Macaca mulatta: one gene and its partner. The protein of the gene in region 1 binds, or shares a complex with, the protein of each later gene. Links are inferred from orthologs where the notes say so. Each region holds a gene or a part of one and is shown on either strand. Other genes may lie near its edges.

Region 1 (4,321 bases):
ACACAATTTTAAACTCTCTTCCTGTAACAGAATGCAATCATAAAACTGACTATACTGATTTGGATCTACTATAATTCAATCCACATTCCACAAGTCATGCAATAACTACATACATGTAAGTTCTAATAACAGTTTTTTTGTTGTTATTTTTGTTTTGTTTGTTTTTGAAAAAGAGTTTCGCTCCCCTTGTTGCCCAGGCTGGAGTGCGACAGCTGCGATCTCAACTCACCGCCACTTCCGCCTCCCGGGTTCAATCGATTCTCCTGCCTCAGCCTCCCGAGTAGCTGGGATTACAGGCATGTGCCACCACGCCTGGCTAATTTTGTACTTTTAGTTGAGACGGGGTTTCTCCATGTTGGTCAGGCTGGTCTCGAACTCCTGACCTCAGGTGATCCACCCACCTCGGCCTCCCAATGTGCTGGTATTACAGGCGTGAGCCACCTCACCCGGCTTCTAATAACAGTTTTGAAGCAGCTCTTCAAATATAAGAACTATGACAGGTAGCATGTATTATATAAATACACATAATGTGAACCTAAAATTCCATTTTTTCTAGGTATTTCGACCTCCTACATCACTTTTTCTCCAACCATTACCAGTCAGAAGCCAAGCAGAATTTCACCTTGTAGCCCTAATACCACTCATTCTAAGGTGGGAGCAATAACAGTAAAACTGTTGGGAGGCCGAGGCGGGCGGATCACGAGATCAGGAGATGGAGACCATCCTGGCTAACACGGTGAAACTCCGTCTCTACTAAAAATACAAAAACTTAGCCGGGCGTGGTAGCACGTGCCTGTAGTCCCAGCTACTCGGGAGGGTGAGACAGGGAGGCTGAGACAGGAGAATCGCTTGAACGCGGGAGGCAGCGGTTAGTGAGCCGAGATCGCGCCACTGCACGCCAGCCTGGGCGACAGAGCGAGACTCCGTCTCAAGGGGAAAAAAGAAAAGCAAAACTGTCAAAAAACAGTAGCTGAAAGGAGGAAGCTGAGCCATCTACAAAGATAACAGCCCCTAAATAAATGAGCTGGCTTTAAAAGTAAACAAAACAGTGAATTGCTTTACGAGTTTTGGTGGATTACCCTAATATGGATGAAGATGATGGTCTGGCTGGGTAACTTCCCATCTTGCCTTCCCCAAACTTGATGGCTATTTGTCAACTAGCTATCAAACGTGATGGCTATTTGTCAACTAGCTAACAAACTTGATAGCTATTTGTTAACTAGCATGTACGAGGATTTGTAAAATGTTCATTACAGTTAAAAACGAAGGTTTATCAAATAGTCTTCTCTGACAATTAATAAACCAATAAGCACTCTAAGCATATGCTGGGGGGGGGGGGGGTGGGCGTGCGTGGAACCGAAAGAAATATGAGACATAGTCCCTATCTTTCAAGGGCCTCTCAATTCATTACAGTGCAAGAGTAAAAACACATGAAGGAGTCAGAGACCAATTAATTGCTAACCAGAGTGGTACAGACTTTAAGTGCATGAGCTGTCCTGAGAAGTTTAAATATCTAAAGGTTGGAATAATATTACTTTTAATAGCTATCACTTGAGCACTTACTATAAGCCAAGTGCTTTACAGGCATTATTTAGTCTTCACAACAATCCTTTGAGTAGAGTACTTATTATTCCCAATTTACTCAAGGGGAAACAGTCCAAGTGGTTAAGGAACTTACCCAAGGTCACTCGGCTAGTTAAGTGGCTAAGACAGCCGCTTATTTAGGGAATTCTAGCGCTCGCACTGTTAAGACTTCATACAGCAGTGCGGGGGGTGCGGGGGAGGAAGCCACATAGGCTGGCACTATTACAAGCGCGGGATCCGGCAACGCGTTCCTCGTGTTTCGTTCCAAGTAATGAAGTTACAAAGATCTGAATCGTTAGCATGAGCCACGGTAAACTGGCTACTAGAAATGGAGAGGGGTGGGCAAGGACGACAAAAATGGCTAACAAGAGTTAATTTGATCCAGGGTTGAGCGTTAGCATCTAAAAGCGATCCAGAGAAGGAAATGAGAAGCTGTTATTAATATGTTTTCTTAAATCTGAGGTTTGCTTTGCTGCTTAAACGACTTTTTTCAGGGAGAGGGGAGGAGGGAGCGCTCTAATGTGGGGGCGAGAAGACTAGGGGTATGGCAAATTACTGTTTTCGGCGTTACGGGGGAAAAGTTTCACGACTAAAGGAAACGCGTTATCCTAGGTACTCGAGAAGCTTGGAGAGTTGCCAGAATTAGTTGCAGTCCCAGGATAAAATGGGGTTTAGGGAACATTTAATGACGAAAGTTAAATCCAACCCTAAATAGCTCTAAGGTGAACAGACGGAGCAAAGAAATGTCTGTAGTTCTTCAGGGAAAGCGGCAATCCCTGCCACACTTCCCCACGGCGCTACGCGAGGCCGGGACAGTCAAGAGACCGCTCCCCGGGAGGACGAGAGGTGCCAAACCGGGTTCTTCGCGGCGCCCCGGGCTTCGCGGCAGCGGGCGAAGAGGAGGGGAGGGAATCCGGGACGGTTCGCCCTCCTCGGACTTCAGGCAGAGGAGGCGCCAAGCTCCAAACTGCGGAGTCCAACGGGTGCAGAGTGAAGAAATGGGACAGAGAGAGATGGAAAGTCCGAATCGCCCCAGCGCAGCCCCATAAAGATAAAGGAGCCCAGTGAGATCAAGCGAAAAGGGGGACACAAAAAGAGACCAAGAGGGAGCGCAGAGACCTGCAGGGGCGGAACAGGAGTTCTACTAAGAGGCTAAAGAAAGCCGAGCTACCGCAGGCAGTAGCGATTTCTGGGAGGCCAGGGAAGGAAAGAGGTCCGCGGCGGTTAACAGCACCTCTCCCCGAGTTCGAAACTCCTAGCCGACCATCCACGCCCGCCGCCCGGGTGGGGGAGGGGGTACATCTTCCCCCCCCAACCTCCCACCACAGGTGAGAGTGCAGCTGACGCCCTGGCCCGGCCCGGCAGTGCGCCTGCCTCCGGCCCGAACACTCACAATTCGCCTCTCCCTGATTTCTCCCAGTTCTTTATCCACTCTGCAGGAACCACCACAGCCGCGGCCGCCATCTTCCTCTCACTAGTAGCAGAGGCCCGGATGTGTAGCACGCGAGCGAAGGGTCAAAGGGGAGCACCGCCCACGAGGAATGCCGGGAGCTGAGAGTTCGTTTTTCGATTTCCCGCCCCACTTTCCTCCCCACCCAGCGGAAACCCGAGGCTCGGCAGCCAACGACGTGGAGACTCGCGGGCTCCTTTGCGAAGTTACTCCGCGGGCTGCGCCGTCCGAAGTCCTCAGCCTTTCCATTAGAACAGAAAAATGCCATCCACGGGCCAACAAGTAGACCTTATCTTCTTCCATAGTATCTACCCCAACCACTAATACAAACACGCATTTTTCAAGCACCTAATATGTGCTAGACACTGGGGATAGAGAAATAATACAGTCTTTGGGAAAGACATAAATATAAGCAGATAAATTACATTACGCCCTGCTGACTGCTGAGATAAAAGGAAATAATCGGGAAGGTGGTAGCCATTGTCTGTGTGCCAAGCATTACGCTAATGCGAGGGATACGACCTAACCGTGGGAAACATGGATCCACGAGTTCTGACACGCTGCGTTGGCCTGCTATCATTGTTACCTTAGGCTAAACTAGGGACTAAGTACCATGAAAAACAAAATGGGCCGCGCACGGTGGCTCACGCCTGTAATCCCAACACTTTGGGAGGCCGAGGCAGGTGGACCACCTGAGGTCAGGAATTTGAGACCAGCCTGGCCAACATGGTGAAACCCCGCCTCTACTAAAAATACAAAAATTAGCCGGGCGTGGTGGCACGCTCCTGTAATCCCAGCTACTCGGGAGGCTGAGGCAGGAAAATCGCTTAAATTCGGGAGGCGGAGGCTGCAGTGAGCCATGATGGAGCCACTGCACTCCAGCCTGGGCAATAAAGTGAGACTTCATCTTAAAAAAAAAAAAAAAAAAAAAAAAAACACTGTATTATTCCTTAATCTACAGATATTTCAAATTTGATCTTTTTTTCTTTTCTTTTCTTTTCTTTTCTTTTTTGAGACAGGGTCTCACTCTATCGCCCAGGCTGGAGTGCAATGGCACAATCATGGCTCACTGCAGCCTCTACCTGCCTGGGGTCAAGCTACCCTCCCACCTTAGCCTCTTGAGTTGCCGTGACTACAGATGCACACCTCCAGGCTCTGCTAAATTTTTTGTATTTTTCTAGAAACAGTTTTTCACCACATTGTCCAGGCTGGTCTGGAACTCCTGGCCTCAAGTGATCTGCCCACCTCAGCCTCCCAAAATGCTAGCATTACAGGCGTGAGCCACCC
Region 2 (4,319 bases), on another chromosome or scaffold:
GGCCTTGGACTGGGCAGCAAGCCTACTGTAGCCAGGGTACCATGCTACCGTGCTGCACGACCCCTGTATCAATGTAAAAAAATGTGAAAAGGGAGGGTGTTAGGAGTCTTTTAAAATACATCCCACCAAATAAATATTTCAGACAGCTTAACATAAAAGTCTACTGATAAGGGGTTTTGAAACAACCGCCCAATTTGTTTTGTGTACCACATGAGATGCAACTAAGAACAGAGGTCTGTAGCCTTCTGTTGGTATTTAGCTTAAAACTGGCTTTGTGCACTGGACCCCAGGGCCAAGTTAAGTAATGTTTTCTTAGGAAGGAGCTGAAGTTGCTGTTGGCTGCCTCACCGCTCATTTAGAGACATCTTGGTGGTGCTTTTTAGCACAACTTTCGGCGCTGACTGTGCAGCCATCTTCAAATCCCGAGAATCTACAAAGGACAATACGTAAAATGAGCAAATCACAATAGTGACCACATCATTTCTATAAGTGGCAAGGCCCAAGTCAACAATAAATAAAAAGGCCTTATCACTGATGACTTAAGAGCACATGAGGGCACATTTCAAGTGCTTAAATTTCTTTTTCTTTTTTTTTTTTTTTTTTGAGAGAGGGTCTTACTCTGTCACTCAGGCTGGAATGCAGTGGCATGATCTTGGCTGCAGTGGCTCACGGCAGCTGTAATCTCCTGGCCTCAAAGGATGTTCCCACCTTGGCCTCCCAGTGCTGGGATCACAGACATGAGGTGTCATGCCCAGCAAAAGTGCAAAAGTGCTTAAATTTCTATGGCAGTTACCTCACATTACTGTAACTTCAAGGTGGCTGGGCGTGGTGGTTCACCACCTGTAATCCTAACACTTTGGGAGGGTGAGGGCACAGGATGGTTTGAAGCCAGGAGTTAGAGATCAGCTTGGGTAACAAAGTGAGACCGAGTCTCTACTAAGAAAATAAATAAATAAATAAATAGCAGTGCATGGTGGCCAGCACCTGTGGTCCTAGCTACTCAGGGGGAGCTGATGTGGGAGAAGTGCTACAGCCCAGGGGTTGGAGGCTGCAAAGAGCTGTGATGACGCCACTGCACTCCAGCCTGAGAGAGACCCCATCTCTTTAAAACAACCAACCAACCCCAAACAAACTCCAAGGCCCAGAAAATACCCAGGAAATTCTCAAAAACGGCAGAACCCAATTTAGCAATCAAAGTATGGAGTCTGGCCTTTTTTTTTTTTTTTTTTTTTTTTTGAGACGGAATCTCACTCTCTCGCCCAAGCTGGAGTGCAGTGGTGCGATCTCGGTTCACTGCAACCTCTGCCTCCTGGTGCAACCGATTCTCCTGCTTCAGCCTCCTGAGTAGCTGGGACTACAGGCATGTGCCACCACGCCAGGCGAATTGTTTTTGTATTTTTAGTAGAGACGGGGTTTCTCCACGTAGGCTAGGGTGGTCTTGAGCTCCTGACCTCACCCGATCCACCCACCTGGGCCTCCCAAAGTGCTGGGATTACAGGCGTGAGCCACCGCGCCCGGTCGAGTTTGGCTTTTTCTCTAGAGCAGTCATTTTCAACCTTGACTACATATGACTTATCCAAGGAGCTTTCAAAGGGCGCGGTGGCTCACGCCTGTAATCTCAGCACCTTGGGAGGCCAAGGTGGGCGGAATGCTTGAGCCCTAGAGCTCAAGACCAGCCTGGGCGACATGGCAAGACCCCGTTTCCATAAAAATATAAATTAATTAAAAAAATAAAAAATACAGGTATCTGGGCCTAGATCAATTAAACCACAATCTCTAGTAACGAGGTTTGGAAATGAACAATTGTGGGGTGGAGGGAAAGCTACCTAGGTGCTTCTAGCGTGCAGTTAAAGTTGAAAACTACTGATCTAGAGTGAAAATATAGGCAGGGCCGGGCGCGGTGGCTCACGCCTGTTTTCCCAGCACTCTGGGAGGCCGAGACGGGCGGATCACCTGAGGTTGGGAGTTCGAGACCAGCCTGACCATCATGGAGAAACCCCGTCTTTACTAAATATACAAAATTAGCTGGGCGTAGTGGCGCATGGCTGTAATCCCAGCTACTCGGGAGTCTGAGGCAGGAGAATCGCTTGAACTCGGGAGGCGGAAGCTGTGGTGAGCTGAGATCGTGCCACTGCACTCCAGCCTGGGCAAAAAGAGCGACACTCCGTCTCAAAAAAAAAAAAAAAAAAAAAAAAAAGCCTAGTTTAAAAATTGGCTTTCAACTCCAGAATCAAGTAGAGACTTTTGTAACAATAAACTAATGATCTCGGGGAGTGCGTAGGAAAGGTTTTCTAAATTCACCTGGGGAATGAGCTCGCAAAGAGCCCTCCACAAAACTTAACCCTAAAGCCGCCATTAATTTCCAACATTCCTCAAAGTCTTGTATTTCTTAATCTCCCTACCATCCTCAAAGCCCTATCAAGACTTCCACTTTTGCTCAACCCAAGTTTCCTTTTAATCCCTATCAAACCCCAACCTCCATCAGTCCCGCCACCAGGTTCCAGTTCAGCCCCTCCCCCGCCCCTTCGCAGGGGCTCCGCCTCCTCCCCCGGGCCTCCACGCTCCAACACCGTAGCTGTGTCCACATGCCACCACCCCCTTTCCGCGTCCGCCAGCCCCTTCCGCTCCCCAAGACCCCGCCACCCCGCTCCTTCTCCCTACAGAAACTCACCGAAGGAAACAGACGCCAGTGCTCCTCCCGGGGCTGCCACCACGGCTCCGGCAGGCGGGCCGGGGACCGGCCGAACCTGAGTTGACGGTGGAGGGGCTCGGGTTAGCTAGATGGGCGGTTGGTCAGATGCGTAAGCGGTAGTATGCGAGCTCAGTTCGTTGTTGCTGGTTGGCTGTCTAGCCGGCCGATCCGTCTGCTCACCCGGCCTGCCCTTTCTTGCCTTTCGTCTGCAGCGGCCGCCAGCTCCGGCTCGGTGTCCAAAACAAAATGGCCGCCACATGCAGTGCTTGTGGGACCGGCTAAAATGGCGTCTACGCCATTACGTCAGGCGTCAGATCCGCTCACGACTAGAGGGCGTGAAAGATTTGAGCTACGCCTGCGCAGGGATCAGAGGCGGAGCCTTAGGGTGAACTTCAGCAAACTTTACCTTAGCGGTATAAGCAGTGCCCCGCCCCCTGGGGGCGTGACAATGGCCCTATCGGGGCGTGCCGGGACTTCAAGTTCCCGTAGTGGTTAAGCTGCAACCTCCTGGGTTACTAGTTAGTAATCAGGGTCTTAGAGGGGATTTGGGTTCCGAATTCCCTTGCCCCTCTGTTCCTTAGGCAAGGTGCATCGTCTAAAAATCTTTACGCGGACTTGCCTCGTCTTCTTCCGGACAACTGGGCCTGGGGAATTTGCACTGGTTTTCCCCTCATGGCCAGTCGCCCAGTCTGAGAGTTGTAAAGTGCCGTAAATGCTCCCGCCAAGGCCCAGGAGGCCAGTATTGGGAGCACATTCCTCTCCCATCCTGCGCTGGCCAACACCACCGCCCGTCCATGTTTTCCTCTTCACTTCCTCCCCTTCCCAACTTGGCCTAAATACTGTTTAATCCTTCTTGCGGGGGGTGCACCTTTGCGTCCTCGATTGCGCTTCCATGTCCTCCCTCCACACCTGCCATCCGTGTTTATTTTGTGGCAGACCTACATAGGGATTTCTCTTTTCTCGCTTTTTGATTTGTTGTTGTTGTTGTTTTGAGACGGGGTCTGGCTCTGTTGTCCAAGCTGGAGTCAGTGGCGCAATCAATCACGGATCACTGCAGCCTTGACCTCCTGGGCTCAGGTGATCCTCTCACCTCAGCCTCCCGAGTCCTAGGATTATAGGCATGAGCTATGTGTCCTGCTCAATTAAGGGATTTTTCTTTCTTTCTTTCTTTCTTTTTTTTCTTTTTGCAGATGGAGTCTCGCTCTATCACCCAGGCTGGAGTGTAGTGGTACCATCTCGGCTCACTGCAACCTCCGCCTCCCAGGTTCAAGCGATTCTCCTGCCTCAGCCTCCTGAGTAGCTGGAATTACAGGCGCGTGCCACCACGCCCTGCTAATTTTTGTATTTTTAGTAGAGATGGGATTTCACCAGGCTGGTCGCTAACTCCTGACCTCGAGTGATCTGCCCACCTCTGTGTCCCAAAGTGCTGGGACTACAGTCGTGAGCCACCATGCCCGGCCTCAATAAGGGATTTTTCTTTTTTTTTTTTTTTCTTTCTTTTTTTTTTGAGACGGAGTCTCGCGCTGTCGCCCAGGCTGGAGTGCAGTGGCCGGATCTCAGCTCACTGCAAGCTCCGCCTCCCGGGTTTACGCCATTCTCCTGCCTCAGCCTCCGGAGTAGCTGGGAC

Evidence for each region.
Region 2: THOC2 (region 1) and CHTOP share a complex: the UniProt entries of both Homo sapiens proteins name them as parts of the transcription/export (TREX) complex. The link is inferred for Macaca mulatta from reciprocal best matches to the Homo sapiens genes THOC2 and CHTOP.

The regions. Positions count from the first base shown.
Region 1 is NC_133426.1:130,144,085-130,148,405, forward strand, and holds the start of THOC2 (THO complex subunit 2), read right to left. Parts: upstream 3,054-4,321; 5' UTR 3,049-3,053; coding exon 2,978-3,048; intron 1-2,977. UniProt on the Homo sapiens protein: Component of the THO subcomplex of the TREX complex which is thought to couple mRNA transcription, processing and nuclear export, and which specifically associates with spliced mRNA and not with unspliced pre-mRNA.
Region 2 is NC_133406.1:113,398,774-113,403,092, forward strand, and holds the start of CHTOP (chromatin target of PRMT1 protein), read right to left. Parts: upstream 2,888-4,319; 5' UTR 2,672-2,887; intron 431-2,671; 5' UTR 414-430; coding exon 349-413; intron 1-348. UniProt on the Homo sapiens protein: Plays an important role in the ligand-dependent activation of estrogen receptor target genes. May play a role in the silencing of fetal globin genes.